Drosophila melanogaster: one gene and its partner. The protein of the gene in region 2 interacts with the protein of the main gene of each other region in a pairwise test. Each region holds a gene or a part of one and is shown on either strand. Other genes may lie near its edges. The genes, in order: Tango11 and narya.

What was found.
Region 1: the proteins of narya (region 2) and Tango11 interact in a two-hybrid assay, tested with the Drosophila melanogaster proteins (one large-scale study listed by BioGRID).

Annotation. Positions count from the first base shown.
Region 1 is NT_033778.4:21,716,025-21,733,306, forward strand, and holds Tango11 (transport and golgi organization 11), read right to left. Parts: upstream 3,940-17,282; 5' UTR 3,831-3,939; intron 3,822-3,830; exon of another isoform or gene 3,660-3,821; 5' UTR 3,612-3,659; coding exon 3,057-3,611; intron 2,809-3,056; exon of another isoform or gene 2,711-2,808; coding exon of another isoform or gene 1,907-2,710; exon of another isoform or gene 1,735-1,906; coding exon of another isoform or gene 1,732-1,734; intron 1,673-1,731; coding exon 1,394-1,672; 3' UTR 756-1,393; downstream 1-755. Other genes in the region: CG30398 (uncharacterized protein), read left to right, coding at 1,907-2,710; LBR (lamin B receptor), read left to right, coding at 4,878-5,303, 5,834-7,633. UniProt on the Drosophila melanogaster protein: May play a role in mitochondrial and peroxisomal fission.
Region 2 is NC_004354.4:19,468,651-19,483,785, forward strand, and holds narya (narya), read left to right. Parts: upstream 1-6,412; 5' UTR 6,413-6,516; coding exon 6,517-7,152; 3' UTR 7,153-7,405; downstream 7,406-15,135. Other genes in the region: kek5 (kekkon 5), read left to right, coding at 1-900; CG32533 (uncharacterized protein), read right to left, coding at 5,532-6,115, 7,460-7,692, 7,761-8,689, 8,758-8,955, 9,018-9,388, 9,443-9,973, 10,034-10,607; mRpS14 (mitochondrial ribosomal protein S14), read right to left, coding at 10,780-11,103, 11,164-11,226; Naa15-16 (N(alpha)-acetyltransferase 15/16), read left to right, coding at 11,972-12,028, 12,368-12,856, 12,948-13,735, 13,802-14,229, 14,302-14,954, 15,034-15,135. UniProt on the Drosophila melanogaster protein: Required for the formation of DNA double-strand breaks (DSBs) together with nenya and vilya during the meiotic recombination process. Plays a role in DSBs processing into crossovers.

The DNA of each region.
Region 1 (17,282 bases), on a different chromosome or scaffold from region 2:
GCCCGATCATATCTCATCGACAACTTGAACAACGAGATCTGTTGAACATTGTATCCACAATCACATACGCGAGAGAACAAAAATACGCGATAATAAGGAAAATTGTATTTATACACACGAGTTTTTAAGTTTATAGTAGTCGTTTATTTTATAATGCCCATATACAAAGAAGAGGACAACCGGCAGGAAAGGAGAAGAAATAAGATTAGCAGGATGTGCGTTGAGGTGTTTTTTTTTTCGATCCTGCGGCGTTTCGCCTGGAAAGGCGAGTCGTTCGGAAAATGAAAGAGAAAAGTAGTCCCCTTGCATATTATTTGTGTAAAGTAAACGATAATTCCATTATAAATAAAAAGATACAAACAATTGCATCTTGTTCTCTAAGTAGTTGGATGATAGCGATTGATCGAAGATCGGGTGGCAAAAGGGAAAGAAACAATCCACTTCACAGACAAAATACACGAAAAACAATACACACACCGCAAATGAATCGAACGAAATTTCGCTCAGGTCTTTTCGTCATTTTGCATTAAACTTAATGTTTAACGTCTTGTTAGCTAAAGATGTATAGCAGAAGAGGAAGTCGGAAGTTAGATGAGACAAGCAGATGTAATTGCATTTAATCGGTAGTTTTAATTGATTACTATACGTACTATTTAAAGAGAAAACCAACAAATTAAAATAAATACATTTTTTAAATGCGTTGAAAACCGAAATCTACTTATTTCCTGGTAGAAAATTAACGAAGCATATGGTTTGTTTTGGTACTTTAAACGTTTTATTTTAAATATCGTTATGAATTCATGCTACACTCTAAATGGATTTCCTTCGTTTCCGCTAGTTATGCAAAAATCAATGCAATGATTTCTGTGGGATTTAGTGTATAATATTATATTTATGTATATATTTAACTATTTATCGTATGGGATTTCGCATACAAATACCATTAAAGTTCTTGTTTTCACTTTGGGATTATCAAATGTTAACAGATCTAAAATATAAACAACCCTTTTAAACAATATCTTTTCAATGCAATGCTGCTGTGATGATTCGGATTCGTGTTGGGGGCTGCTCAGATGAAACACGTAGAGATTAAAGCTTAGATTTAGATACACGCTCCTTAAGTGCCAGATCTTACAAATTAAGTATGGGGGCCTTTGTTTTTTTCGTTTTCCACGGTGTACAAAACAGAACGATGTTGCGCTTATTTATTACGGAGCTTAGTCTACAAAATTATGGCAAACAAAAAACAAAGTCTCTCTCAGAGCCTTTCCACAAAAGAAACACAAAAGTCAAGAAACGAAAGAAGCTGTTCCAAAAAGGGTGTCCATAGCAAGGTGGTTGTCTTGGCACCCAGCGCAGATCGCTAACCATCATAGTGGGCTCTACATTGCGTCTAGTTGCGATTCAGCCAGAATATTGTCTTGAGAACGAAGTAGGCCAGGCCCAGACAGTAGACGATCTTCTCCCGCTGCGTGCGCTGTTCATTGTTGATCTCGATGTTCAGCACCCGGCGATTCAGCTTGGCCAGCTGGCGTCTCAGATACAGGATCTCCTCGTGGGGCGTCAGCTCGCCCATGGGCGTGCCCTCTCGGTGCGCCAGCATTGAGGCATCCAGGTTGTTGTGCTGCTGTTGATTCAGCTGCGAGCGCTTGCTGGCACTGCCTGTGGTCAACTGGAACACATAAGGTAGTCAAAGATAAGTTGCGCCAAATAGGATTTAGATGTGTGTACCATGTTAAGTGTTTGCTTTGTGAAAGTTTTCTGTTATCAATGTGAAGCAAGAGTCATTTTTCAGAGCTCCCCCAAATATTTCCGGTGTCAATATAAGCAATAAACATTCGAAAAAAAAAAAAACGCCCAACTCGAAATTTTCTGTATAGCCAACCAATTTCTTTCGATCCCAGCAATGACAACCAGTCCCAACGTAGCAGAAGTGGATGATGGCGAGCTGCCGAAACTGGAGGCGATAATCAGCGCGCTGAAATGCGAGCAGACGGGTCACATTATGGAGGCGATACTACTCTACGAGGAGAGCATCTTCAAATTGTCCCAGATGGCCGATGCGGAGCCGAGTCGCCGCCAGCTGTGTGGGAAGTATTTGAAGATGTACGAGGCGCGGGCCAAACAGCTGAGGGATCAGGTCAAGGGTCACTTGCACACCAGCCGTATGCTGGATCACATCACCATCGAGCAGGGTGCCAGGGGCAGAAGCTACCAGCGGCTGTTTGGTCCGTATTTGGACGATGCGGTTCGGGAGGCCCATCTCAACGAGCCACACCTCACGGAGCCACCACACTTTAGGAATTTGCTTAACTTTTTCGAGGTGCTGGTCAAGAACTGTCGCTATCTAAAGTATATTCGCCTCACTACGCGCCCAGATGCGACGGCGCCCAAGAATCAGTTGCAGATGCTGCAGCAAATGCAGAGCGATCTGGCCGGTGGCAACATCCAGATGAATTTCCAGATGGACGACAGTTTGCACGATCGCAAGATCGTTCTTAGCTCGGGAGTGGTCATTAAGATTGGCCGTGGCCTTCACTACTTCGAGCCCATGGAGGGTTCGTACAGTTTGGGTCTGTGCGATTTCGATTTTCGCAAGTGCCTGGCCACCGAGGTGGACATCTGGAAGTGTCGTCCTTTTGCGAGGCGCCTTAAGGATACACAGGAGGGCGAGGATCGACCGGAGGCACACGGCTACTCCAGCGATTAACAAAAAGTGAGAGTGTGTTTCCACACAGTCGATGGAAATTGGGTCAGCCGTCTTATCAAAGCCGTATTAGGAATTCAATAAAAACCAGCAGGCATGGTAATCTCTTTGCAAACTGAATGGGTGGCAAGCGCAGTGTGATCGCTATCTATCTATTATCTATTAACAATTTTGGTTGTTTTATTGCGTCATGTGTGGATCGCTAGGGTCTAGACTTCCATCAAATGAAGTGCTCTTTAACAGAAATCACAGAGTTGCTCATTCTGCCCATCGATTTAATTTACAAGCACTTGCAATTGAATTGAAAAACTAAAGGAAAATTGTTGCTTGTATGGCATATTTTACTCACCTGCGAGTCCGATTCAACGGAATTGGTGTCATTGCCTTGAAATCCCATACGGGCGACTCCATTGGCACGCACATATTGGGTGGCATGGACCTCCTCATCGTCGGCGTCCTCGTCGAGATCATTACCATACAAATGATGACCATTGGCCCGGATGGGCGAGCTCTCCTCGGAGGCCGAGGGAAAGTGTTGATCGGTGAGGGTGATAATGCGCGGTGGCGTCTGGACGCGCACCAATCCGACCGATGGGTTCTTGGGCAGAATGGAGTTCTCCAGCTGGATTTCCCGCGGAGCAGATCGCGTCTCCAGATGCTGATTGTGGCCCAGGACCACAATTCGATCCGGTACATTCATGTCGATCTTGTCGTGATAGTTCCAGGAGCTGATCATCCCGTTCTGGTTGGACAGCAGCAGATCCTCGTTGGAATACTCCCCGGTGGCCTTTATTCTTTTGGGAACCCGCATCTTGTCGTTAATCTCGTGGGCATATTTGGCGTCGCTGTAGAGATCATCGTCCAATCCATTGAACATGGGCGTCGGCGATTGCGGGGTCACCATGGCGATGTCCTGGGGAATCCTTTCAACTGATCCAATGGGCCTCACTTGCTTTTGGTTTTTCGTTGTTTGTCCAATTTTTTTTTTTTAGGTAGAAGGCGGCCGTGAGAGAGACGTTTTCATAACAAATTAATAACCAGAATTTGGCAAGCGCAACATTTTCGTCCGGCTTGTGTGCGTGTGTTTGTTGCGTATTGGGTTTTTCGAATGCTTTCTACTTACATTGCTCGGGAAATGACAGAAAAATGTCCGAGAAATCCGTAATAATTTACAATTTTTCTCCTGCCTTTTGTTATGTGTGTGAGGAGATTGATATAGAATGTGCTAAATAATACCAGGAATGACAGTCACTCTACTTCCACTCTACAGATCCGGCACTCTAGCTCCTTTTTAGCCAAATTAATTATCTACCTCAATATCAGTAGAAAACTAGGTATTTAAGAAGTTATTTCAGTTGTTTTGATTCATTTTATTAATATGTTTTTGTTTCTTGAAAAGTTTGCGGTATTCTTCTGTCTTGAACAAATAATTTACAACTCGATTTAAGCGACAACTTTGGTCTTTATAACCTACATATGTAAATAAAATGAGTACTGTTAGTCTTTGCAAAGATCAAATACTCCAAAAAGTTTTCTATCGATTTATAATACTTGCGCATTGGTATGGTTCGATTAATGTTTAAGGGAATGTAAAAATAAGTACAAGTACTTTTAATACTTTAAAATAATTAACCTTGAATACATTTTAAATTGTCTTAAAGTGCCCACTAAACCACTGTTAACGACACGCTGCGTGCTGTTAGGCGCCGTTCGGCGTTAGCCAACACTGAAAAATACCAACGCAGTGGGCCGCGCTCATTTTACAACAAAATTTTCTCATCCGCCGACAACTAGACGCGCGTCTTTTTTATCAAGTGATTTATGCTGAATTTACGGCGTTTCAATAGCCCCATAAAGTGAAAAACTACAAATAAATCCCATCAGAAGTGAGTTACTAAGTTGTGAAGCGTTAAAAGCTGTTTAAGCTAAGTTAAACATCGTTTAAAAACTGCCAGCCAAGAGGAAGAGAGCAAGAGAGAGAGCGCGTTCTGCCAGCGTCGCTGCCTGCGGAATGTACAGTTGCGGCAGCGACGTCGCTTTTCCTTTCGGCGCGCAAACACAAATAAATACAGAAAATTAGAGAAATAAAGAAAGCAAAGAAACTAGAGAAAACCACAGCGTTACTTAAGTACATTAATAGATTGTGTGTATTTTGTAAACTATAAATAACATGCAGCACTCGCCGAGCACAACGACTGATCATATCCATTTTGCAGCACGTTTTTTCGACCGCAATTCATACACCATGGATCGACGCCTGAGACGCCCGCGTCGCACGGAAGACGTGTCCAGCGGTCCACTTCTGGCCCAGTCCAAGCAGCCCAGCCTCCTGCCGGTGACCCGACGTACGGGCTCCGTGACAGCTGCGGGTGCCACCGCCACCGCCACCGCCACCGCTGGTCCCGCCACCCGGACACGTGCCTCCCCGTCACGCAACAAGGTCGTCGCACCGCCCTCGCCCGATCTTGGCCCGCGCACCCGTCGCTCCAGCCGGCCGAGGTCGTCGGTGGGTCCGCTGACCGGATCGGGATCTGGTTCCTCGCTGCCCATCAAGGCCGCCATCAAGGCACGCACACCCATCCCAGAGGTTTCCGAGGTGAGTTCTCCAGCACAAACCAGTTTTGCTGGCCGGTGGATAAGTGCTTAGCTATATTTGATCAGTATTCCAACCATCAGCAGTTTAGAATTTTGAAATCAATTGCTTTCAATATAAAAGCATAGCGAAATATTAGTTCTATTTAATTTCGATCGTTACAACCAATTAAACTACATAATTAACTGTAACTGTCCTACCTTTATTACAAATTTCGAGCTTCTGTTTCTGTGTGTTTTATGAAGCTGATAAGCAGCACCCACCGCCCTGCTTATCAGCTTAGAGTTCTGCCCTCATATGCTACCATAAGGAAATTCCGGGCTAAGATAACGGATTTGTAATTGTTGAGCTAAACTGCTGATTACAAAAATAGAGGGGAATCTGATAAGTGTACTCAAAACACCTTTAACCCAGTTTTGAGTACCCACATATTTTTGTACAATCATGTCCCTTTGTATATTCTTCTAAGGTTATATAGTTTCTGACTTTGTTTTATCACTTATTACATCTTTACTTATGATCTTAAATTACAGGTATCATCGCCTATTCGTTTGTCAACCAGCAATCTGCCCATGACATTGACCACCAACACATCCAGCGGCGCACCGAACAAAGCATTTAACACAAGCTCCGTGAACAGCGGCAACAGCTTCAGCCGTACCACTACCAGCAGCACCACCACAACCACGGAGCGCATCGAGATCCGTGCCGAGGGAGACGGCGAGGTGGACACGGATTCCATTCGCAAACGCATAACCGAACGACTGCGCAGATCGGTGTCGAAGACAATCTCAAATCTAGCTGGAACACCAGTGACAAACACCGAAGAGGGCAGTCGTTATAGTAGGAGTGTGTCCCGATCCGTCTACGACGATGAGAAGTCCTCCAAGCGTAGTTACTCTACGGGTGAAGAGGATATTGATGAGGAGGATGAATTGGAGGAGGATCAGTTCCGTAGTTTCAATGTAACCCGTAAATCGGCCACACCGGCGGAAATATCCTGCCGTCAGTTGAAGGCTCCTAGAGAATTTGGCGGTTGGCTAGGCGCCTTCCTGTTCCTGCTACTTCTGCCCACCGCCGTCTACTATTTGACATGGAGCTGTACGGCCAGAAACGCCTGTCAGTTTAAGCACCTCAATCTGGGTATACTACTGGATGTTAACTACCTAACGCGCCAGGTGTTCCAGCCACGAGTGGTGGGTGCCTTTGCCGCCTATCAGGTGGTGGTATTTCTGCTGGTGGCACTGCTACCAGGACGAAGGGTTCATCTCACCCGCGAGACCTACAAGTTTAATTGTCTAGCAGTTTCGCTTACGCTTTTGATTGCCAGTGGAGTGGCCGAGTATCTGAAGTATCCAGTGGTCACCTTCGTTCTGCGTCACTATCTGCGTTTCTGCATCTTTGGACTCGTTGGCGCCTTTGTGGCAGCTGCTTGGAGCTACTGGCTGGTGGACACCGCCAAGTACAATGTGCTGCGCCAAACGCTGACCAATGATTATGGCAGGACTGGCAGCTTTGTGGTGGACTTCGCGCTGGGCAGACAGCTCAATCCCAAGTGGCTAGGACGCGTGGATTGGAAACAGTTTCAGTACCGTCTCTCCCTGGTGACCACCTTGATCTATGCCACCTGCTACATCTACCAGACGCTCGTGTGGCCCCAGAAGCCGCAGCTGGGTGAACAGGAGGGCTATCTCTACCAGGCCAAATACTACTGGAACAATGTAAATTATGATCCTGCCACCCTGTTCTCGGCCAGCTGCTTGCTGTTCTACGTATTGGACGCCATTATTTTCGAGCACCACTTGAGCTCATCCTTTGAGCTGCAACACGAAGGCTACGGCTGTTTGCTGCTCCTGCGCTACGCAGCCACTCCATATCTGCTGACGGCGGTCACCAAGTATTTCTACGAGCAGCGTGTACCCATCTCCTGCTGGTATGCTCCGCTGGCAGTGGCTGCTCTGCTGTCTCTGGGATTGCTGGTCAAGCGATTCAGTTGCGCCTACAAGTACAAATACCGATTGAACTCGCAAAGTCCGATCTTCGCCAACATCGAAACTATTCACACGTATCAGGGAAGCCGTCTGCTGCTCAGCGGAATGTGGGGATGGGTACGCCAGCCCAACTATCTAGGCGACATCGTGGCCCTGCTGGCCCTGGCTGCTCCCATGGCCCTGCGTCCGGCCTGGCCACCAGTTCTGGGTCTTAGTCTGATCATCCTGCTCCTGCTCCATCGCGCCACCCGAGCGAACGCCCGGAATCAGGCGCGCTATCACTCCTCCTGGCAGCGCTACAGCACCCAGGTGCGCAGCTACATCCTGCCCAGGGTCTACTAAGCCGGGAGTTGACCCTTCTATTTTCTGTGGCCATTCTTATTTTTATTTTGATTTCAGTTTGTTTTTATTTTATGTTTCGAATTTGTATATATAATACGTATTCATAATTCATATTGTTCTAGACCACCAATACAGCCCCCCCCCCCCCTTCAGCCCATTACTTTTAGTAACAAAATTTGATTTTACACTCGCCGACACACGCACATTAAACAAAATGAATTTTCACACACATAATTATAGTTAAAAAACCCATCTAGCTGTACGAACTTATGCGCTTAAGATCTAGACATCTTATATAATCAATACTTGTAATCTATGTGGTATGCATATAGATAGTACTTTTTACATTTAAATATGAAATAAAAAAAAAACATAGTTTCTATGCTATGAAGAAACGCACAAGGACAGCTGTTTATTATGTATGTTTCCATCAAGTCAGTTAGTTGATTCCTGATAAGCTCCATAAATCGATTTTCACTTAGCACTTGCCAGACTTTAAGGTCACTCCAAGTGGATTTCAAGTTGAATCAAAATACAAATTATGAGCGGCCAGCAAACTGCGGCCGATGATGATGATGATGATGATGAATGTCAGTCAGCGAATAAAAGAAGTAATTTTGTGTAAAAATACCCGCTCCATCCAGCGAACACCCACCACCTACCGCTGTTCCGCTTTTCCGGACGGAGCGCATAAAGTTCTTGGCTGTGGGCGTGGCACGCAGCCTTTACAACTGTTAATGACATTTACGAATGTTTGCGAGCCACCGAAACTTGGTGGACCTCATCCGTTTCGCCATTCCATTTGCCACCCCACACACATAATGCCAAAATAATGACGAAGTCTGGGCTTGCACCTCCAAAAGACCTGCTCGCAATACACTGGAAAAAACATAGTATATTTATTATAGAATTGTTTGTTTTAAAAACAAATAAATTATAATTGAAGTTTATTATCTCTAATAATATATTAAAATTTATGCACAACAGTATGTGTGATTATGTTATATTACAAATTTATTTCAGTGCACAATGCCATAGAAAAATGACGCGGAAACTGTCAGAAAAGAAAGCAAATGGCGGGTGAAAAAATCATGGAAAGCGGCTAGGAAAACCTCGACGTCGACATTTGCGGTTTGCTATACAAATGACCGACCGCCGCCGACTGCCCCGCCCACTTGACGAAAATTATACAATAATGGCGTCAACATTAGCAAATTGTGCGCTTGTCGCAGTTCCCATTTCGGACATTTTGCCCATTTTGGCCATTTTCACAACTCCACCCACCGCATTTCGTCCTTCGTCCTTTAATGAGCGTTTAAATTGGCGGATCCTGGCATTTGGCTTAAATTTTTGATTGATTGCCCAGGTTTTTTCGGCTTTGTGGGCAATGTGCATAAATAAATTAATCCAACCAGGCGGTAATTGTACAAAATAATATAGTAGAAATGATTTTGAAGAAAAGAAAATATGTGTAAAATTTGTATTAAAATATTAAAAACTATTTATGAAAACTACTACTAATTCAGTTAACATGAAAAATATCATACCTATAATATTTAGCTGTGCTATTATTGCTATTATTTTATATTCGTTATTAAGAAAAAGCTAGCAACATTTTGAATGGAAAATAGGTAAGAAGTATTAGCCAGAAAAACTAGTTTCCGCGGTAAAATAAAATAAAAACTAAATGAAAACTTGGCTGTAGCATAAATCACGCCTTTTGTCAGAATCAGATAACGTTTGGCATAAATTTAGTTTTAATTGACTTAATGCTTGTACTTTTATCAAATAATTAATTACAGAGCAAAGTGTGGGCAACACCCAGCCAGATGGACAAGATACTCTGGGATCAGGTAACACCTTGGCGGGGTCAGAGAAGGAAGAAGGAACTGACTGCTCCTGTAGTCGAGGCGTCTCCATATAAATTCCACTTTTAATAGTGCAACTAACTTGGCAGTGGGCGTCTGCAGTCAGGTCGATGGAGTTTGTTTGTCAACCAGTTTGCTGTTCGTTTTTGTTTGGCGTGGGCGGTTTTGCCCCCTTTGCCATTCAATTATCTAGTTTTCTATAAATTTTCTTGGCTGCTGGCTGCAGTTCAGTGCATTTTGTTGGTTTGTAATTGGCCCATGTCAACAAGTAAGATCGATATCGCTGCCACACAATTTCAGTTCTGACATTTTCGCTTTTGTCGTTGGCCAAGCAATAAAATTGTTATTGATTGTAATTAGGTTTGTAATGGGGTTATTTATGTGTGCCAGTCAGTCGTTGTTTATGTAGTGCAGTGTAAGTGCTCACTGCGGGCAAAAGTCGTGATTGATTGATGGCCAGAAAGTAATTGCTTGAAAATCGAAAGCAACTTTTAGCGGCAATTTAAATCAATTTTCTGCAGGCACTCAACTGCAGGCCTCTCAGGCAAATGCTCTTTATATGTAATATAATTGTTATCTTTAAATTCCGAAAACATTTCTTTCAAATTGCAGTGAATTGGAATTAGAAACCTTCTTGGAAACCCTATATTTCTTGGAATTTCTATCTGACCCACAGGCTCATAATTAATTCAAAGACTGAGCCAAGTATCACTGACCAGGACCTTTCAGGACAACTTGGGCAGGGACCTTGAAAAAGCCTCTTGACAAGTTCGTTGGACCAACAAAGAGGGACACTGGGAAAATAAGACTGGCACGCGTAATGCCCATCCTTTTGTTCGCCAGTGTCACATCCATCTTCATCAGTCCAAAGTTTGCATTTAAATTGGTAATTAACACAAAATAAAAGCGAAAGCGGCAAGAAAAAGTGCCAGGCGAAATAATCACAAATACAATGGAACAAAGGACCCAAAAACAAGTTGACATTGAGAAGTGAAAACAGTGGAAAGCGGAAATAATCAACTAGCCGAATGATAAGAAGTGTGTGCCACCGGAAGTGAAAGAGGCCATGGGGCAGAAAGTCGGCTCAAAGTGCGAAATTGGCTAACAATTGGCTTGAGGAAATCATGTGCACTGTTCAATTTTCATACGTTAAGAATAATCTTAAAATTTATGGTTATTTAAAAATCATATACTAATACAAAGTCGTTACTGTTTTAAAAGAAATGGAATTACTGTAAAATTCGAACACGAACTGTTTTGCTTTTTCAAAATTCTATATCGCAACCATTTTTATTGTTAAATAAAAAAATTAACGATTTGAAAAAATCGTTTTAATTTAAATAAAATTTGAAATCCAGCTGAAAAAGCTCAGTGAACCTAATAATTTCGTTGCTTTTGCTAACTGCATTGACTGCTTTCTGTTTCACTTTATCATTTTATTAAATCGAAAAAGAAATGAGAGAAGGAAAAAGGAAGAAAGGACACTATAGTCTTGTCCCTCGACTATCAGATACCCTTCACTCAGAAGAATGAGGGACATTCGGCCGTAGGAGACCACGATTTAGGGGAACTAGGCAACTTTGAGTCTCTCGACTAAGGGATATAACAATGAAATATAAAATGGGGAGATAGTGGCAGCACGCCGAGACTCACGTCCTTCAATCGAAGGATGCCAATTGAATGTAAATAAGAAAGTGACAGCCAAAAATGGCGGGAATGAATGGGGAAATTCATTCGACAGAGGAAGAAAACTCGTTGGGAGTAAGCCAAATCGTGTTGAGCAGGTCATCAAGGACAATCGCCAAACTGACGACTTAGTTGACAAAATTGCGAATAAAGCCATCGGACAGGTGACAAGCAATTTATTAGCCATCAATTGAAGTCGATGGAGAGATTGAATTAGAAAAAAGGCCGAAATCAGAATGAAAATGAAAACGGAATTTAAGATGTGGCAAAAGATTAGTATATTTCTTTTTTGTTAAGTTGAATGTTTTTAATCAGTCGAATCAATCTACTTAAACCAGTCCACAGGGAAAATAATGATCAACCACAGGCATCATCTGCTATCTAAATGAAGTTCCAAAACGAATTTTAATCAACAGGCCACAAGCAAAAATCGAATTCGGCTGCAAATTAAGTTTGTATCTCCTTCTCGACGAAAAGCCAATTGCTGGAGGTCCGGCAACAACAATTAGTGCAATTTCTTGGCCAGGACGAAGCAGGACGAAAAACGGACAGCCATTACCTGCTCGACTTGGCCATAAACGTGAGCCCGAAAAAAAAAATGGGATGGGTGGTGAAAAGAATATGCCCAGGCAAAACAAACTTAATTGTCTGCACAGTTTTATTTACTCCTCCGACGGACAGCGCAGGACAGGATAGTACTAACCATGTCCTTGCCACAGACAGATCCTGCTGGGGGAAACCACGATTGGAAGATGGGCCTGCGTCTGCTTGTAATTACTGTGCTACGAGTCCTGCGAGTCCTTCGCCTGCTGCACCCACTTAACGAACATGGCCAAGACTGGCCAAACAATAGGCCTCCACTGCTGTCTCTGAGCTCCGAGGTGCACTCAGAGAAATACTAGTATATCATATTGGTAGATATGGAAGATAGATTTAAATTAAATAGATCTAATCTAGATACTTATTCGTAAAGTATGAAGGTGAATGAAAATACTCTAAAGTGAAGGATTATTTTTGATATGCCTTCTAAGATTTCTTTCAGTGCATCACCATGCACGGCTCGTTGCCCGGATAAGTGATGCAAATCCCGCCCCTCGCTCCCCTGGTTTTGGCCTTGTTTAATGCTAACACAATAAACTTGACCGAAAGCCTGTTGTCGATGCAGCTGGAGCACAGAGTTGAGTTGAGTCGCCGTAGAAGCTGTGAGAATCCGGAAGGTGGAGCTGCTGTAGCTGGATGATCCCCCTCCATACATATATGTACATATGTATGGTTGGCCAGGCACTGGGTACAAGTCTGCGGCCATGTAGTATGTGTTGCTATCGCATTTGCATCCGACCTTCCGCCCCGTCCCTTCTGCTGCCAATAACTCAATCAGTGGCGCACTGCAGTTGCTCCGGACCATTCATCATCGCCAGACAAAATATTAATCGCTCCTGCCCTTGCACTTACACGTGGCCAAATTGGATTCGAACGCGATTATGTCACACGGAGCGAGGCAAGGTTACAATTTATAATTGTCAAGCGGATGGAAGATATGCGGATGCAGCGATACATGGACTACATGGCCCAGACAAATGGTATATGGTGCGGTCCACTATCCCCGGTGATTTATGTGGCCAGGAAATTGACTTGTGATATATGATTCTTAATGCAGCGAGGACCTTGAAAAGATGCCGCAAAATCAATGAGTGCATTTGGCTTAAAGCAGCGGGGGTAGTGGAAAAATTGTGAAACTAGAGAGGTGCATGATCTCAAAAGTGGGGTAAAATGTAACAGTTCATATTTAATTTATTACTTTAAAGTACTTAAGCATATACAAACATCAATTAAAGCCATGCCAATGCAGTTTTTAAATCAATATTGGCATTGACCAGACATTAAGTTCAATCTGCAAACTGCGACGCACAGAAAAAATAAAAGCCTGAAAGGCGAAAGCCGATTGACCCAAGGAACCTCTTGATTCGAGGTCCTGCGGCTGAAAGGATTCGAGGTAAAAGGGTTTCGAGAGCAGAAATTGAAATTAAAGCGGGGCAAAAGTCAAGGCTTAGTGGGTTAGCGTTTCAATTATGACATTGCCATATCTAATCCGGGCTTTAATTAAGACCAGATGACTTTAACAACAGGAACAGTGGAGGCGGGCATTAAGAAGCCTTTGAGCCAACTTACCTTTTTAATGAGGCAAAAAGTTGATGCCACATAACGATGTCATAATGGCCATTGTGTGGGCAACGAGCAGCCAGCCAGGACAGCACGACGGCAGGAGCAGCAGAAGCAATGTGGATGTGGAGCAGCGGTTTTAGCGCCTGGAGCTCTTCACAATGGCCAAGACCGCCGCGGTCCGAAGGCTTTATTGTGTTTTTAATTAGAAAAACTATTGCATCTCACCACCGGCTCCTGCCACAATTGGTGGGATCGAATTTAAGGCAGGAACATGGCCGCAAACACCAAAGCCCACAGAATGCAACAATATCTCGGCTTGCAAACTATGCCTTAGTTTAGCATAATATTTTCCCACTAGCCAAAAAGTGTTGAATATCGGCCCGGGGCAGCGTAGCAGCTAAAATGTACGAAAAAAATATTCGAAGAAAAACAAGCTAGCTGCCCATAGAGCCGCAAAAATGCTGCCTGCAAAAGGAGTCGCAACCGAAAAAAGTATGCAACACTTGGCCAACGGAGCCATCGGAGCACAACAAAGGCGCTTACCAGGTGTTGGTGCATGCCAGGCGAGGATGGGGTGGCGACCGGGGGGTCCTGGACATAGCCACAAACTTTGGCAAGGACTCCTACTTGGTACACATGCACTGGAAGAATAATAAGGTTCTGAACTCGCATTGGTTGCTAACGTCTCACTTTTGGGGGGTTCATTTCCATCTAAGATGATAGAGTTAATAAAATAGTTATAATTTTTTCCAGTGCAAAATCCAAAAGGCAAGAGAAAAACTCCGAGTCCCGGGCTCGGGGAGCCATATGCGAAATTGTTTTATAGCTGGCCGGGAACGGTCAGTGCGGAGCGTTGAGTTTGTTTATGGCCACAGCCAGGCTGGCCCACAACGGATGTTGCCTTTAACTTGTATATCCTTTACTTTAGACCGTCCAGTCCTTGTGCGGATGCCTCTCGCTCTACTCCGGCTATCTGGCAGGACGCAGGACGAAGCACGGGGCAAGTTCCTGGGCATTCGGTTTCACGTTGAAGCGTTTAACAAAGCGCCGTAAATTGCATCAGGCGTGCAACCACAAGCTTTCCCCTCGTTCTGGTATTTTATTCGGCTTTTCGTTGAGTTGAGTTTCTTTAGCCAAGTTTTGGAGCCCTATGCCCTATGCGGTACAGGTTAACTTTTATTGCCTCGAAAAAAACAATTTAAGCTTTGGGTTTTAGGGATAGTAGGCTTTTAGCATGGCCGAAAATTAGATTATTGGCTTGCGGTGAATGCTGCTCAATGCTCATGGAATCGAAGCTAATGGCATGCGGTTCGGCTTCTCCAGCAGACGACAACTGCAATTTATGAAGCTCGAGTCGCAGCTGAAATGCAAATTCAATCAGCTCCCTTGGCAGACTGCAATTAAAACATTTGCTGAATTTTCATTTGGCCCTCAGGGCGACCCACCCAATATCCTACAATTATGAGTTGGGTTGCAATCAAAGACCCAGCTTACGCGTACGATTGCCATGTTGCCAATGTTTATTGAAGTCCGCGAATGGCCAAACAAATGGCAGGGAGCCACAACCCGCCCTGCCACGCCCATTTGGGGATCAGGCGAGAGAGTGTCCAAACTTCCGCGACGGTGGCAAGTGCAGCAAGGCGTCGTTTTTTTAATAGAGTCATAACTTGCTGCCAACTAATGGGCTTGCAACCAAAACACGCTGCACTGCAACAAAATTCGAGAGGGAAATGTATAGAGTTTCCACATTTTATCATTATCTATCACGATTCCTTCTGACATTCCTTTTGAATCTAAAGTAAAATTCTTATCATATATAACTTGTAATCGTCCCTGCAATATGTTGTTAAATAAAACAAGCAATCATATATTGGATACGATTTTTCTTCCAGTGCACTTCGAGCAGCCCTTGGTTAGCCATAGCATAGTGCCCCTCGAGTTTTAATCCCCCGTTTTTTTAGCCTTCATGCTGCTCGGTGGTGACTCTACTTTGGTTACAATTCAATTTGCAATGGTCGCTTTTTCTTGGCCATTTTGGCCGTTTTTTTTTCGGTCCTTCAGTTGCGTTGGGCGCTTTAAAAATTTGTTTCCGTACCTGGACAGTGTCGTAAATGTGTGGAAATTGTTTGGTGCTATGCCTCGTAGGTATGTATGACTGCCAGTTGAGCAACGGGCGGTCGCTCCTTCGTTATAGCCAACTTCATCCCCATCTCCATTCCCATCTTCATCTTCTGGTGGAGTGTGTGGCATTTGGCCAACAAATCTCTCGCTTTCCCTGGCGGCGCTCGCTGTCGTTTTATTGTCTTGGCATAATGTTGACGTTCTAGACTTGGTCTAGATGTTGGTGGCGTTGGGGCTCCTTTCGTGGATGGTGGGTTCTTGGGGCCTGGTTGGCCATGTGGTCCTCATAATTGTCTTGCGCAAATGGTCGTGTAAAATTTTAATTGCTTTTTAGTGCAAACTCTTGGAAAATTTGTAGTTTCCAAGGAGCAAGGAGCGCAGGATTGCGGCTAAAGCTGGAGTACACCACTTACCCGATTTTGTATGCATGTGAAGGGTCAACTTTTGTGGGCTGATTAGGAAATGTTTATGACAAAGGTGTTTTGCTCTTGGGTATAATGGTTCCGTTTCGGTACTCAAAAGGTTCAGGAAGTGCTTAGTACGGAACGAGGATTTAGTTAAGGGCTTAATCCGTTAATTGTGTGCTCCAACATGTTAAGAGGAGATTGAAGGGAAGAAAGAAAAATAATACTTTTCTGACTAATATATGCCATTGCGAGCGTGAACAAATCTTTGCATACGCTTTCAGAAGATGTCAGCAGTGATTTTAGACTTTTGGAGCACACACACAAATATTATTTTTAGAGCTCTGAGTAAAGCACCAAAACGCTTTGAACCACAAAGAAGGTAATGGAAAATGCTGAATCTCAAGTTCTCGAGCTGTAGCTGGATAACCAAACAGAAGCAACAGCCACACATCTTAACCGAAATCAGCAGACAACTCATTAAAATCCAAAGTAATTTTCCACACCATATCACCGTGCATGACACATATATCAAAAATTTATGTGCGAAACGTCAGAAAGTTTGAACACGGCCACCATAAAAACAATTTGAATACATTTTTGATTACATTTATGGAGGCGAATGCTGTAAGGAAACCAAGTCAAGCTGAAAACAACTTTCGAACAACACTTGACATGGAAATTTTTGGGTGCGTATGCTCCAGCTTCCCGCTTTTCTATGCAAAAACATGCAGGATCCCAGGAGCCCCAAACCCAAGCCCCAAGTCCTGTGACAAGGGAAAGTGATATGGTATGTGTTTGGGAGTCCAAATATTTGTTCTTTTTCTTGGCTACGCGAAACTAAACCAAACTGAACCGAAATTTACAATTTCATAACTTTAAGTGTCCCTCATCATTTTCATATATATATAAATGGTTTTTTTTCTTTTCCGGTTTCTATTTTTTACCCAGATAGTGAGCGTTTTCTAGCTTTCTGGCCATTCGGCTCGTTAGCATTTTTCCGGTTATCTCTTGCCAGATTTATAGAGCTCATTGCCCCAATGGCTGCGGCCCGTCATTTACGGTCACAATTTTTGACATTCATTGGCCTTTTTCCTCCGCTCCTCGGGCTCCTTCGCCATTTTTTTTTTTTGCGGATAGGACACGACACCCAAACTTATATAGAAATGAGCGCATGAAGCGTGAAATTAAATTTGATAAATTCTATTTACGTATAGAGATGGAAGATTTGTGGCTGGACACCAGGGGGGGGGGGGGGCGGAATGGGGAGCACAGGACAGTTATTAGGGTAGCTGGTCCTAGGTCAATAATTTAAGTGTATCGAATGGGTTTTTTAACGCTCGGTTGTGCAGTGTAAGCGTGATTAGGGGGAGAAATAAAAAAGCTAAGGTTGGGGCTATGTCAAAT
Region 2 (15,135 bases):
ATTGCCACCACCAACAGCAGTCGCCAGCACCAGCACCACCATCAGCTGCAGCAGCAGCAGCAGCACCACCACCACCACCAGCAGCAACAACAACAGCAGCAGCAGCAGCAACATCCGCTGGCCACCACATCGCCCTTCCTGCCCGCACCCGTCGTCTATTCGCCGGCCACGGGTGTGGTCATGAAACAGGGATATATGACCATTCCGCGCAAGCCGCGCGCTCCCAGCTGGGCGCCCAGTACTTCCGGTGCCGCTGGCCACGGATCCATTCAGCTAAGTGAATTCCAGAGCCCCACATCGCCGAATCCCAGCGAGACTGGCACCGCCACCACCGCGGAACTGCAGGCGGAGCCAGTGTACGACAACTTGGGATTGCGAACCACTGCCGGCGGCAACTCCACCCTCAATCTGACCAAGATCGCCGGCTCACAGGGGGGCGCTGGTCAGCAGTACTCGATGCGGGACCGACCACTTCCGGCCACGCCCAGCCTGACATCGGTGTCCTCGGCGACCAATGCCAGTAAGATTTACGAGCCCATACACGAGCTGATTCAGCAGCAACAGCAGTTGCAACAACAACAACAGCAGCAGCAGCAGCGACTGGGCTCCATGGACACGGAACCCCTGTACGGAGTTCGGCAACAGGGGATCACGATACTGCCCGGCTCGAGCATTAGCGGTGCCGGACTGGGCCACGCCGCCTACCTTTCACCCGGCTCGGGTGCCGCCGTATCGCCAAGCCACGCCAGCAGCAGCGGTGACTCTCCGAAGGCCGCCAAGATCCCACCACGCCCACCACCGAAGCCCAAGAAGAAGATGTCCGTGACGACGACGCGCAGCGGCCAGGGCAGCACCAGCCAGCTCTTCGACGACGAGGGCGAGGATGGCACCGAGGTCTAGTTTGGCACCCACGGCGATCTCCGCCATCGCCGGCAGCTGGCGATGTGATGCAATGTAGCGATGCAATGCATGCGATGGAATGGAATGGAATAGAATATGATGGGATGGGATGCATTGTGATGTCGTTGCCGACAGCGAGCAGCAGCAGATGCGGATCCAGTTGGATGATGAGGAATGGGGAATCCATGGCGGGCTGAAGCTGATGCTGATAACTTTATTGCGCGTATGGGATGTGGGATGCAGCCCCCCAGTCGACAACAGAATACAACATCAACATCAACATCAACATGAACGTCAACACATCCCCTGTTGCGGCTTGTAAAAATAGCCGGCGGAAGGATTCTGTTCCGTGGTTCACGCCACTGCGTGACTTGTGTGCCAAACGACTGATGTAGGTTTTAGTAATTAAATCGATGAACATGCAACACACCAGTTCTTCTTCTGGTCTGGAAAATGCGACGGGAAATATGTAATCTTCGGCGAGTTGGATGAAAAAAGAAAAAAAAAAAAAAAACAAATAGACAGACATACAAATCCGTATAGGGCGATAAAGTCGCTTTTAGGAGCATCAAATCCCAAATTCGTATAGGCGGATATACGTAAAACCCAATTTTAAAACCACCTTTTTTTGTGTAGACTATAGCTAGTTCGGTACAAAATGCATTATTCGTATATAGAGAGACATATATATATATATATATACACCAACGCATACATACACACACACACAGAATTTTAAACTTATATGAACCCTAGAAGAACAAGTATCCTATTATGAACAAGTATACATAAAGAACTTTCAAATCAACGACAGTTTATTCAAGCGCAATGAAGAGGAATAAAACACTCACTTTTTTTCCAAATTTTTTAAAATTGTACATGTAAAGGCATACAGTTAATCGCATTAGGCTACATACATATATAGTACATAGATACATATATATAAATATATATATATATATGCATATATATATATATTAATGATATATACTTATATTAGCGTAAGCAACCACTTGCATCCTTAATTTTTTTTTTTTAGTTTACGAAAGCCACCACGCGATTCGGGAATTAAACTACATGAAAGTATATTTATAGCGGGTAAGTTTGTTAAGTGCGTTTAGCGGTAGGATAAAGAGTTTGCATTTCGCAATTAAAACAATGAATTGAAACTTCTATGTATACATATAGTCTAGAGGAGGACGCGCAGCTATAATTACGATTGTACTAGTTATAAAGATATATTAAATAAATTGTATGTACATGGACTCACGTATGACATTCTAGGACTAAATATACACCCAATCTCCCATTACCGCTGAGAAGAAACGAAGATTTATAGGCAAAAAAACAAAAAAAACACTCCCTCAAATTACCCTCAGCCGACTCGTTTATTAGCCAAACTAAGCATCCAAATCAGCAGCAATCATTCGCAATACATCAGTACGAATATACCCACAAAGTGTCGTTGAGTCCAATGGGTAACATTGAATGCCAGCTACTAGCTAGCTACTAGTTGAGTCCAGTCCAGACCATTCTTTGCCATGCTGTACGATATTTCCCCCAATCACTCTGCATTTTCTTATCATTATTTATAACAATTTTACACTATATACAATTAGTTTCCTGCAGCGCACTGGCGATCTCCATGCAGATGCGTTTTTATTTAATAAAAATGCACTCTCAGGCTCTGCCAAACTAATTTATTTTTGAGCTTGTGGGGAAGGGAGGAGCAGGTGGAAATAGAGAACGACACTCTAAATAAAAATTAAAAAAGGGCAGGCCTGAAAAAGATCCGAGAGTTAAGAGCCAGTGCTTTCAATAGGTATACATATATATATATATATATATAGAGACGTGTAAAGTACAGCCCCAACCTTGCCCCTAGAAAATCGTTACTTGATGCGGATTTACTAGGCGAATCAACGAAACTACGAGTGTAAACATCCGACCCATACTTGGTTTTAAATAAGCAAAAGTATTACGTAAATCATAAGTTACCTTACATTTTTTATCGTGCTCGTTTTTTATTTTTTTTTTTGTGTGTATTTACAAAGTAATTATTTGTAGAGTTTGCTTTCGAATTTGGACAAACGCAACATGATTGTAATAAATATCTCAGAAATTCAAAGCTCTTATATGCAGGCATTTTGAAAAACCAGAAACAGAAACAAATATAAATACAGCAAAAAAAAAAAAAAAATATTGTAACGTTGCGAACAATTTGTTCAAATTAGCTCAAAATCAAAACAATTATAATTATAAATTGTAATCTAACTGTAATTGATAGAAGGGTTCTTATATATACGTTTTTTTTTATAATTTTGCATAATTTGCCTAACATATAAAATATTAAAATAAACTATGAATAAAAGGAATCCAACCAACCAGGTGTTTGTTATTTACTCGAACTGGGACTTCCTTTTTAGCCACAACAACCAAACAACTATTTTCTGCAGTGTACAAATGTCGACAGCTGTTCGCCTAATCGAAGCACTTCGATTCATGATAGAAAATTTAAAAAGTTAATGCCCGCCAGGGTGCTGTCGCCCTTTTTTTTTCAATATTACGCAACATAAAACTTATATTGAAATCAACTTTTAAACAAGCCAGTGTCTGTGTGTGCGAGTTTGTGTGTTTTTTTTTACGATGATGTTTTTATTATTTGATCAACGCACTGTTACCCATGCGGCAACTTAATTTGATCTGCTTAAATTATTTTATTTTACAATGTGTCTTGGTTACTTAAGACTAACAGATTTTTAATCCTAAAAATGTTAGGGAGAATTATAATAGTTGATATAACATAGTAATTATTATTTATTTGATTATTCTAATGAATTTTAAAACTAAGACTTTCTAGGTCAAAACCAGGTTAGGGAGGTCATGAGGGTGGTGTCGCTTGAGTCTTCTTTTGGCTCTAGTCCGAGGGTCAGCATTGACCACAGCTGCAGTTCCTAGCTTCCTTGCTAGGCTGTTGGGGTGTACATTAAGCCTTTCCATATATTTTTGGGCGATGTTCTGGAGCTTGTCTCCTAATTTGGGCACCTTGAGGTCGCGTTCGATGTCTCTTGTTCTCATATACCAAGGAGCCCCCGAAATTCTTCTTAAGGTCTTCGCCTGTAAGATCCGGATCTTAGTGCGAGTTTGTGTGTAAAAGGACAGCATGCTGCACACGCCCGAAAGCATGCAACACTTTTTTGTAAGACATCACAAAATGTTGCCGAAAAGTTTTTTATTCTTCCATTTACTTGTATCGGCAAAGAGCATGCTGTTTTTCAGCTGAAATGTGCAGCACGAATGTATATAATTGACCAGCATTAACGGGAATGTCGCTGTAGCCATGTTACACGGAAAATCTAGGTCTCCGGAACAAGCAAGTATCCTTCGCCAAGTGAACGAGGACTTCTGGGACACCACGCCAACTAGAGCATTGTCTACTGTTTTCCGAGGCATTTAATGGATATTTATTTGAAAATCACAACGCATTTCAAAGCATTTGATTGCTTGCGTTGTCCCACTTAAGTAGGCAATGCATTATGTAACGAATCAGCCGAGGGTATCCCATAAAACATAACTAGATATTTATTGAAAAAGAAACAAAAAAAAACGCAACACATTTTAGTAGATTTTCGCATTGGATTGTTTGTGCTTAGTGCTTGGCCCATTTACATACGTACACAATACAATTTGTAACATGTTAGCAATGGGTATCCCGCAGTCGGGACACACGCCGTCCATCCTACTTTTTTTCTTGCGAAAAAGCGGACAAGCAAGCTGAGCACAAAACTCGACAGTAGCAACAATGTAGTTGCAAAGAAGTAGACAGTCGGGCGAGGCAGAAGGAGCTGCTGCCCTGCCGAGGAAGCGCACAACTATATCTGAAAATTGGACAGCTTGACAGGCAAAGACCTTTTCATAAACAAGCGTAGCTTCTGTGTCCCGAGATTAGGACAACACAGCACGGTCGAAAGGAGCGCCGCATTAAGGTGCAGATCCAATACAAATCTCTAAATCCCTTTTTGTCATCATCCTAAGCTAAAAACTATTTTGTAAGCTACAAAATTGTGCGAGATAAAAACTAAATCCTTGTGAGGAATTCACCCAGCTCTGTTGTCAGTGGCAAATTGAAAGCTGGACACTTGACAATTTTACATATTGCAATATTCAGTTAAAATAAGCAGCGCAGCTTGAGCAACGACGACCTATTGTGTAGCTGGCTAACTAACAGGCATACGTAGTTATCAAATCCCATATTTCGTATCCGATAATTTATTCTATAAATTCATTCTTTCAACAATTTGATTAAAATGGAAATTTCCCGGCGGCTTCAATGCCAATTGAACGGGGCATAATTGATTTTAATTAAAAATTCCATTGTTTTGGCCCAAAAACGAAATATTTTTGGTGGGAAATCCGAATACAGATTTCCGCCCAACATTTTTCAGTGCGTTTTTTTTTTTTCATTGTAACATGGCTGAAGGGTCCCTCAATTAAAGAAAGCAAATGTTTTTCATAACATTTTTGTTGATTTCCAAAGGGGACAGGCCAAAAGTTAATTTGTTTAGCAATTTTTCAATATGTTAAATTAAATATGTTTTTTTTTTTATAATTAAATACGTTTATTCAGACGATTACTTGTTATTTCGACACTGCTTTTTGTGGCGCAGAATGTCGATCGTTGTCAGTCGCAACTCCCTCTTGCAGGAGTTGCAGTAATAGCCGCCGGAGGAGTGCGAACTGGAGCTACTGGCTACCTCCGTTGAGGACTCTGTGCTCGTTGTTTTCGCCGTGCGGCTTTCCTGCGCCTTGCGACGCTTGCATTTGGATCGGTGCACCAGCTGCTCCAGCACATCGAACTCCTCCAGCTCGAAATCGCAGCGCGTACACTGCCATGGCTCTGCCCGTAGAGTCGCATCCATGGCCGTCGTCCACTGCTGTTCGGCCAAGCAGCTGTACACCACGTGCTCCGATACGTTGAGGCCGCCCTTTTCCTCGTTCGGTGTCATGGGAAAGTCGACGGCAAAGGGGTTCTCCTTGAGCTCCGCGAGTCGCGCGGAAGGTGCCTGATGAGTGTAGAGCCTCTTGATGTCGGCGGGAAGCAGTCGGCGTATCGCATACGCCACATCCAGCGCCATATAGTCCACAAGATCTTGCCACAGCGCGCTGCTCCTATCGTCACTTGAATGGGAAGGTGATTCCTGTTTGCTTTTGAGGTCTGCAAATTGGACAGCATTAAGTACATACGTATTAGATAACTAAGCTCCATTTACTAAGAATGCCAAGAACAACAAGCATTTTCTATAACTGAACAGTTCAAATATCGACAATTGTATATGTAAATACCTAAAAAAAAAAACGTTTTTAAGCATATGTCGTTCCCATCATTTGATTGTTACAATAATAACTGCTTTAAAATATTATGGTGAAAAATCTTTGAACCTGAATACACCACTTGCAGGAAAGGTGTGGTGAACAGATTGCAAGGCGAGAGTGTTCTCACCCGGCAGAGTGGCCAGACCGCTGAGGTAAGATCCGTTAGCCCCATTCGGATATCTAAATCACAATTGTTTAAGAAGAAAACTTGCAAGGCGAGGAAAAAAACATATATTGGTCACTATGTTTCGAGTGCATTGCAACAAGTGTTTCCGTCATCGCAAAACTGATCCAGCCGTGCCCTTCCACTTGACCCAGTGCCGGCACGTGATCTGCGGCCCCTGTTTGGGCCAATCCTCGCTAGAAAAGAACTGCCCGCTATGCGGCCAGGTGCTCAAAGCGATCCAGATCAACCGGGATATGCCAACTAGCGTGGCCAACTACTTCGCGGATCCCCTGCGATTCCAGCAGATCTACCGCAAGATCTCCAAGTTCCAAGCGGACCAGCGAGCATCGGACAACCTGGGTTTCTACCGTCAGTTGCAGCAGCTGGAGCAAAACAAGCGCCAGCTGGAGGGCTTTTGCAAGATGGAGGCGCAGCTGAACCAGAAGGTCGTGGAGGAAAAGAAGCGAATCGCTGAATTGCGCACCTACATCGCTTACCACGAGAATGCGCAGAGGATGACGAGGCGCCGGCACAGTGCAGGTGAGAGATTCCATACGCCGGAGTTCAAGGAGGCCTGGAACACCTCTATCAGCACTTCGGACAAATCGCCGTCGGATATGCCTTCTGATAGCTCCCGCCGGTCCGCGGACTTGGATACCCAGTCAACGCGGAGAAGATCTTTTGGCAGCGACACTAAAGGCTTTCGTCTTTAGTCACTCCAATTACTTGTATAATTTTTTATAGGAATTCTAAGACTATAACCACTTCTAACGATTCAATTAGGTTTTGACCTTCCAGAAGATTCCCAATATAAAGAACCAGATAGATTATTAAGTTGCGCTTAAGGTACTAATTATCATCCGTATTCTATTACTATTACTATTCAAATCGAGACGTTCCACTACTCATGTGCGGGATATGATAACCATAAACGGAAATATAACAATCTACTTTAGCTTACAAAACTCAAAAATCCCCCTAGTAGTTTTAATAATTCCAACCAATCTGGGGAGCACTCACCATCCAGCTTGTCGTAAAGCAGTCTGCTCCAACGTCGGCGCAACTCGATGGCCCGTCTTAAAAGCTCCATACCGCTGCCGGGCATGGGCAGATCCAGTCCCAGCCAGCCGTCGCAGGCGATCTGTGTGATGCCCGCGTTCGTGTCAATGGCGAAGCTGAAGAGCAATAGCGTCTGGGCAGCCGGCAGGCGGATGCAGTTAATCAGATAGGGCTTGGCGGTCTCCAGCAGCGACCTGTTGTAGTACGTAGTTTTTTGGGGATTAGTATGGCGCTGCAATTTCGTACAGACGCACGCACTCACTGGTAACAGAGCAACTGGTGGCGCTTGCTGAGCGGAAGCTTGGGCGTGTAGAAGTCTGGCTTGGGCAGCAGATCGCTTTCGGTCAGCTTAAGCAGCTCGAAGTGCTTGGCGAATTGCGAGTTTGGGTGCTGCAGCACGAAGGGCTTGAGCCGCGTGTGGAAGAACTGCTGACCACCACCCTTGCAGTAGTTGAACTCGTCGCTGATGGCCAGCTGTGGATAGAAACCGCTGCCGAGCAGCAGCTTTAGCAGCACAACGACGCTGTGTCGGTCGAGCCGCGACGAACGCTCCAGCAGCGCCAACTGTCGAGGATCGAACCGCAGCCGGAAGTCCACGTCCCTCATATCGTCGCCCTGCGCCTCCTCCTGCTCCTCCTCGTCCTCCGCTACCCGTCCAGCGCTCTGCTTGAGCAACTTGCGCTGACGGGGTTGCTCAAATCGCTGGCGGCGCTTCATGGCTTTCAGCTGGCGCAGCTCACCATGTCGCGTTGCGCGCTCGGCACTGGTCAACTGGGAGTCCGAATCGCTGGCCACCACCATGCCGCAGCTCTCGAGGATGCGCTGGAACTGTTGACGCAGCTTGGTCACCTCATAGAAGCGCTGCTCCTCGATGCCCAAGCGACGGCACCACTGTCGAGTGCCATCGCGCCGCATCTTCAGCTGCACCCACACGTTGTAGAGTCGCACCAGGGTGAAGAGGTCGCCATGATCGGACTCCAGAGACTCCCGCTCGCGCACGCAGCGCTGGTCTGTGTGGGCACGATTCGTCAGCGGGTTCTGCACGCTCAGCATGGCGGCCAGGGTCAGCAGCTGCTCCACCTCGGGAAACACGCTGCCCATAAGCAGCATCTTGCCGATGGACAGCTCTACGGGCAAGTTGGCCAGCGATCTGCCCAGCGGTGTGATCTTTTCCTCCACGCTGAGGGCGCACTGCAATTAGAGATTAGAAGTCCGGTTGAATTGGGGTCTACACAGTTGGGTATCGGTGAAATGCTCACGTGTTGCTTTAGCGCCAGAATAGTCTGCTCGATGCGCTCCGTTTCCGGGGCCTCTATGAATGGAAAGGCCCGGACGTCGGGCAATCCCATGGACACCATCTGCAGCAGCATCGTGTCGAGCGGCACGCGGTAAATTTCCGGAGTGGGATATGCCTCGAAGGCGTTGTATTGCTCCGCAGTGTAGAGCCGAAAACAGACCTGCGCTCGGAAAGTGGGAATGTATGAGAAATGGAGCAACCGTGGGTTAGGTTCTAGCTTACACCTGGTCCCGTGCGACCAGCACGACCCTTGCGCTGATCCGCAGACGACTTGGACACCCAGAACTCTTTCAGACGCTGGCCCTTGCAGGTTGCGTCGAAGTTCATCTCCTTGACCTTGCCAGAGTCGACCACGAACCGCACGCCGTCCACGGTGAGCGACGTTTCGGCTATGTTGGTGGACACAATGCACTTGCGCATGCCCTCGGGTGCGTAGTCAAACACCTTGCTCTGGTCCGCGATCGCCTGGCCACTGTGCAGCGGCAGGACGAGCCAATGAGTCTGTTCGGTGGCATACTCGTGAACGGCCTCCACAACAGATTCGATTTCGTTTACGCCGCTAACGAAGATAAGGACGTCACCGCGCTCGCTGGCTAGGTAAGATGATTATTAGGCGATCCCTACAAGAACATGATAACTAAACTCACTCGGATACTGCTGGTCAATAAGGCTAAGCACCTGGACAAATGGAGCTGGATCGATGCGGTTTCTCTGAGAGCGTTTGGATGTCGCCTGTCCCGCCTTTAGTTCCAGTGCAGGAGGCGGCAGATAGCGCAGTTTGATGGGAAATAAACGTCCCGGCACCTGGACCAGCCGTGCGCCCTCCTCGCCGAAGTAGCCGTGGAAGAGCTCCACGTTGATGGTGGCAGACATGAGTATCAGCTTCAGTTGCGGCCGCGCCCTCAGTAAGCACTTGGTAACACCCAGTAGAAAGTCACCGAATAAGTTGCGCTCGTGGATTTCGTCCAAAATCAGGGCATCGTACTGGTCTAGGTTGGCGGCCACCGCTAGTTGCCGCAGCAACAAGCCCTCCGTAATGAAAAGGATGTTGGTGAGCTTCGTCCGACTGCGCTCGAATCGGATCTGGAATGCCACCCGACTGCCGTAGTCGTCCAGCAGCTCGTGCGCAACGCGCTTGCACAGGGAGACGCAGGCCAAACGGCGCGGCTGGGTGCAAGCTAGGGCAACAAAAGGTCGATCATTGGTAAGGCAGCCTCAATGGGAAGCCGCATACTCACCAATGCTGCGGTAGCCAAAGTCATAGAGATACTGGGGCACCTGTGTGGACTTGCCGCAGCCAGTGTCACCGGCCACGATGACCACGCGGGACGTGTCCAGTGCCTCGCGCAAGTCCTTCCGGAAGCGAGCAATGGGTAGATTGCGTTGTGTCTGCCGCAGCTTTCGGATACGCTGGAACTTTTCCGTCTGGCGGAAGTCTAAGTACACCAGCAAGATATGACGAAACTGGGACTGCATTTGGTCGCGCGCCTCCTGAAGCAGTTCGTCAGCGTCCAGCCGCAATGCCAAGTGCTTGCTGCGGTGATACGGCTGCATGCTGCTCAGCTCCGCCTCCGCGAGTCGAGGCGGCAGCACGGGCTGGCCCGTGGAGCGCATCATAGCCTCGTACTTGCCCACGAACTTCCAGAAGTCAGCCTCGTTCTCCACCAGACTCCTGCCTACCTGGCGGCTCTTGGCCTGCAGCAGGCCCACGAGCTCCGCCTTGTGATCCAAGAAACTGAACTCGATCAGATTGATCTGAGTCCTGCGGCGGCTGGAGGCATGTTCATCTGCCTTCTTCTTTATCCGAGACATTTTCACCGAAGCAAAATAGTTCCTAAAATTTGTATTTACTTCTTCCCACAGCAAACGATAACACTGCTACCGATAAACGGTCAGCTGTGCAAGAACCCAAGCCGATAACACAATTCTGGAATGTGGATGACTACTAACAAGGTTTATTTCCCTAGATTGCTAACAGAAGATGCTACCACATGGCGCGCTGGACGCCGGACAGCTTATTGTAGTCGGCGAGGTGGCGCCACACGATTCGACTGAGCCTGTACTTGTGGACAACTCCGCGCGGACGTGACGTAAGCGCGCAGCGTTCCCTCACCCGGACGAGCGATGAGTCCCGAGGAAAAGCAGCGATCTCGGCGTCGGCTACCTCGCGTAGCTCCGGCGGCAGGATGTCGTTCTTGCGCAGCGAGTTGACTCGCAGCCGCTCCACGGCGTTCTCCTTGACGCACTTGCGCCGCTTTACGTCGCGAATCATCTTCCAATCGGCATACTTTGTGCGCACCTGCTGCAGCTGTTAAGACAATGGGCTGGATATTATGTTCGCTTAGCTAGGAGTACGATGTTAACTTACCCCGCAGCCGGCTATTTGCACGGACTGGCACACAAAACCCCCGATCCTGGCCAGAGAATTCATGTTGTTGCTTTCGGTGGTGCTCTTCTTCTTTTTGCCTCTTTACTTTGTTCGCTATAGTGTCGGTTATTAACGCGCGGGACTATCGATAGGCAACAGCTGATGAGCCCATACAGTGAATTGCAAATTTATTGCCTATTATTTTCGTATACGAGAACTGGGTAATTTAAATGAAAAATACGATGGCGAAGCATGCGGTGTGGAATCTATAAGGTTAAAACATGGAAAGCCGGCTGACTTTCGACCTCTCGGAATAAGTTTTAATTAACAATTCACTCGCTTTACATAACCGCCTAGCAGCGCGATTCAAAACGAGCGCGTTCACACCCATTCGCAGTGGCGTACAATTGCTGTTACCATTCGCCGCGAAGCGCGTGAACACGTGTGCCAGTGTGCGTGCGCCAGTGCGTGCATGTGCACAGTCGAGCTTGCCAGTGTGGGTGTGTGTGGTCGTCTCACGTCGATTTAGAAATTTGCTCGTGCCCGCAGTTTGCCGTTCGCCGTTTTCGCCTTGTGTGTGTGGTGTGTCTACTCCGTATAGACTGCCAATCGAGTCCAGCTCCGCTTCCGAGCAGCAGCAGAAGAGGCATCGCAACTCAGCTCAGCTCGCTGATCCACAGATCCCGCAGTCCGGTGCAATTCACGGCCAGGCGAAAACCCAGTCCCAGTCAGCAGCTGAGGAAGAACAAGAACGACCAAGCAGAAGAAGCAGCAGGCCGAAGAGAGGAGCAGCCGCAGCCTTGCAGAGATGCCTTCTAGCGATCCCCTGCCGCCCAAGGAGGGCGCGCTCTTCCGCAAGCTACTTGTAAGCCGGTCTAGGTGACCCTACTGTCCCATACCTTCCCCTTCCCTTAATACCACAACTGTGCCGCCCCCTCCCTTTGTTCGTGCCTTTGGCCGGCTTCGGCATCCATGTGCTTTTTAGCCGAAGTCAGGTGGAGAGTGCCTATTTTTGGCAGAAGCAATCCGGAGGCGATGCCTCCGCTGCTCGAGATGTGTGGCTTCAGCGGGCGATTGCACAGCTCTGCTCAACCGCCGACGTTTGTGGTCGGCCCGCTGGTCTCATAACCTCAAAATTCGCGCTGCGCGGGATGCGAGAAACTTTGACTAAAACCTTTCTTCTCTGTGCTTTCTTATCAAACAGAAATGCTACGAACTGAAGCAGTACAAAAATGGCCTTAAACTGGCCAAGCAGATCCTGTCCAACCCCAAGTACATGGAGCACGGCGAGACGCTGGCCATGAAGGGGCTTACTCTGAACGGACTGGGGCGCCGCGAGGAGGCCTACAAGTATGTGCGTCTGGGTCTGCGAAACGACCTGCGCTCCCACGTTTGCTGGCACGTCTACGGACTGCTCCAGCGCAGCGACAAGAAGTACGATGAGGCCATCAAGTGCTACCGCAACGCGCTCAAGTGGGAGAAGGATAACCTGCAGATCCTGAAGGACCTGTCGCTTCTCCAGATCCAAATGCGCGACCTCGAGGGCTACAAGGAGACGCGCCACCACCTGTTCACGCTGCGTCCCTCGCAGCACGCCTCCTGGATCGGTTTCGCCATGAGCTACCATCTGCTGGGTGACTACGACATGGCCAACAGCATCCTGGAGACGTTCAGCCAGTCGCAAACGTCGATTGTATGTATCCAGCTGCCTGCCGATTCAATTTTATATTCCAATTCAATAAAATGCTCGTATTTCTTGTTCCATGTCTCTGCTCCGTGGGCAGGAGGCGCACGATTATCGGCACTCGGAGCTGCTGCTCTACCAGAACCAGATACTCATCGAGTCGAATCGTCTGCAGCAGGCCGTGGACCACCTGACCAAATACCAGGGCCAGATCGTCGACAAGCTGGCCGTTCGCGAGACCATGGGTGATCTGTACATCAAGCTGCAGCAGCAGGAGAAGGCAGTGCCCATCTTTGAGTCTCTGATCCGCCGCAATCCGGAGAATGTGCTCTACTACGAGCAGTACATTGCCGCCCGCCAGGTGACCGACTCAAGCGCCGTGGTGTCGATCTATCGCGTGTTCCAGGAGCAGTATCCGCGCGCCCTGTGCCCTCGCCGCCTGCCTTTGAACATCGCCAACGGCGACGAGTTTCGCGTCGTGACCGACGAGTACCTGCGCCGCGGTCTGCGTAAGGGCATTCCGCCGCTATTTGTCAACGTGCGCACTCTGCACCAGATACCGGAGAGGGCGGCCGTTATCGAGGAGCTGGCGCTGCAGTATTTCGAGAACCTTACCCGTTCCGGCCACTTTTCTCGCGAAGATGCCGACGCCGGAATTCCCGTCGAGCCGGCCTCGGCGCTGGTGTGGACGGCACTGTTTCTGGCGCAGCACTACGACTACATGCGCGATACGGACCGCGCTCTGGAGTACATCAATGTGGCTATCGACCATACGCCAACACTCATTGAGCTGCTTATCACCAAGGGTCGCATCTTTAAGCATGCTGGCGATCCCGTGGAGGCGTACGTCTGGCTGGAGGAGGCCCAAAGCATGGACACGGCAGATCGGTGAGTGAGCCCCATGGACTAGCATAGACCTGCTGAACCATGTAACCATCAATGTTTTCCCCTCAGCTACATCAATTCGAAGTGCGCGAAGTACATGCTGCGCGCCAACATGGTGCAGGAGGCAGAGGAGATCTGCGCCAAGTTCACTCGCGAGGGTGTCTCCGCCATGGACAACTTGAACGAGATGCAGTGCATGTGGTTCCAGACGGAGTGTGCCCTGGCCTATCAGCGCATGGGTCGCTGGGGCGAGTCGTTGAAGAAGTGCCACGAGGTGGAGCGCCACTTTGCCGAAATCGTCGAGGACCAGTTCGATTTCCACACCTATTGCATGCGTAAAATGACGCTGCGCGCCTACGTTGGCCTGTTGCGATTGGAGGACGTGCTACGCCAGCATCCATTCTATTTCAAGGCGGCCAAGTGCGCCATCGAGGTGTACATTCGTCTGTACGACAAGCCGCTTAAGTCGGAGACAACCATTGAAGAGATTGACATTGGTATGTGGACATTACCCCACTAGCTCCCTTGCTCGTTCTAGTTAGCTGTATGACCGCCTTTCTTCGTTACAGAGAACCTGCCGCCATCAGAACTGAAGAAGCTGCGCAGCAAACAGCGCAAGGCCAAGAAGAAAGCTGAGCTGGAGAGTGCGCAGGCCGCACAGGCGCAGGTGAAGCGCGAGCAGCACCAGAAATCGAAACAGCAGGCAAACCAGGAGACCGACCCCGATGCTCCGCAGTTGGACGAGCTGGTGGCCGAGAAGCTGGAGCGCACGGACGATCCGCTGGACAAGGCCATTGAATTCTTGAAACCGCTGCAGCAGCTGGCTAAGGAGCGCATCGAGACGCATCTGCTGGCCTTCGAGTTGTACTACCGCAAGAACAAACTGCTCCTTATGCTGCAGTGCATCCGGCGCGCTCGCGCCGTCGACGCCTCGCACCCCGTAATCCACAGCTGCATTATTCGCTTCGTTAAATCGTTGACCAGCGCCGCCAAGGAGCAGCCGTTCAATGAGCACGTGCAGCAGGTGCTGGAGAAGGCCACCAAAGAACTGATAGGCAGCAAGACGCCCCAGCAGCTCAACGATGAGTTTATTGCCAAACACAACGCTTCCATACTGCATTTATACGAGGGCGCACGCAGTCTGTACGAACTGGACAATAGTAAAAAAGCTGCCGCCATCAAGCTGGTCACTAGCTTCAACCTGGCCAAGCTCCGGCTGGAGGTAAGTGACTGCCAAACCCATTTCTCCACCCACTGACTGGCCCCCTGTTGATCCTTGCTCTTTGAATTGTGTTCCGCAGGAGGCCACCAAAATCTACACAGCGTTGCGGGACGGCGATGTGTTTGGCGAGTGCGAGGCAGAGGCCGCTTCCTACCAGCAGGCGTGCCACCAACGCTTCCAG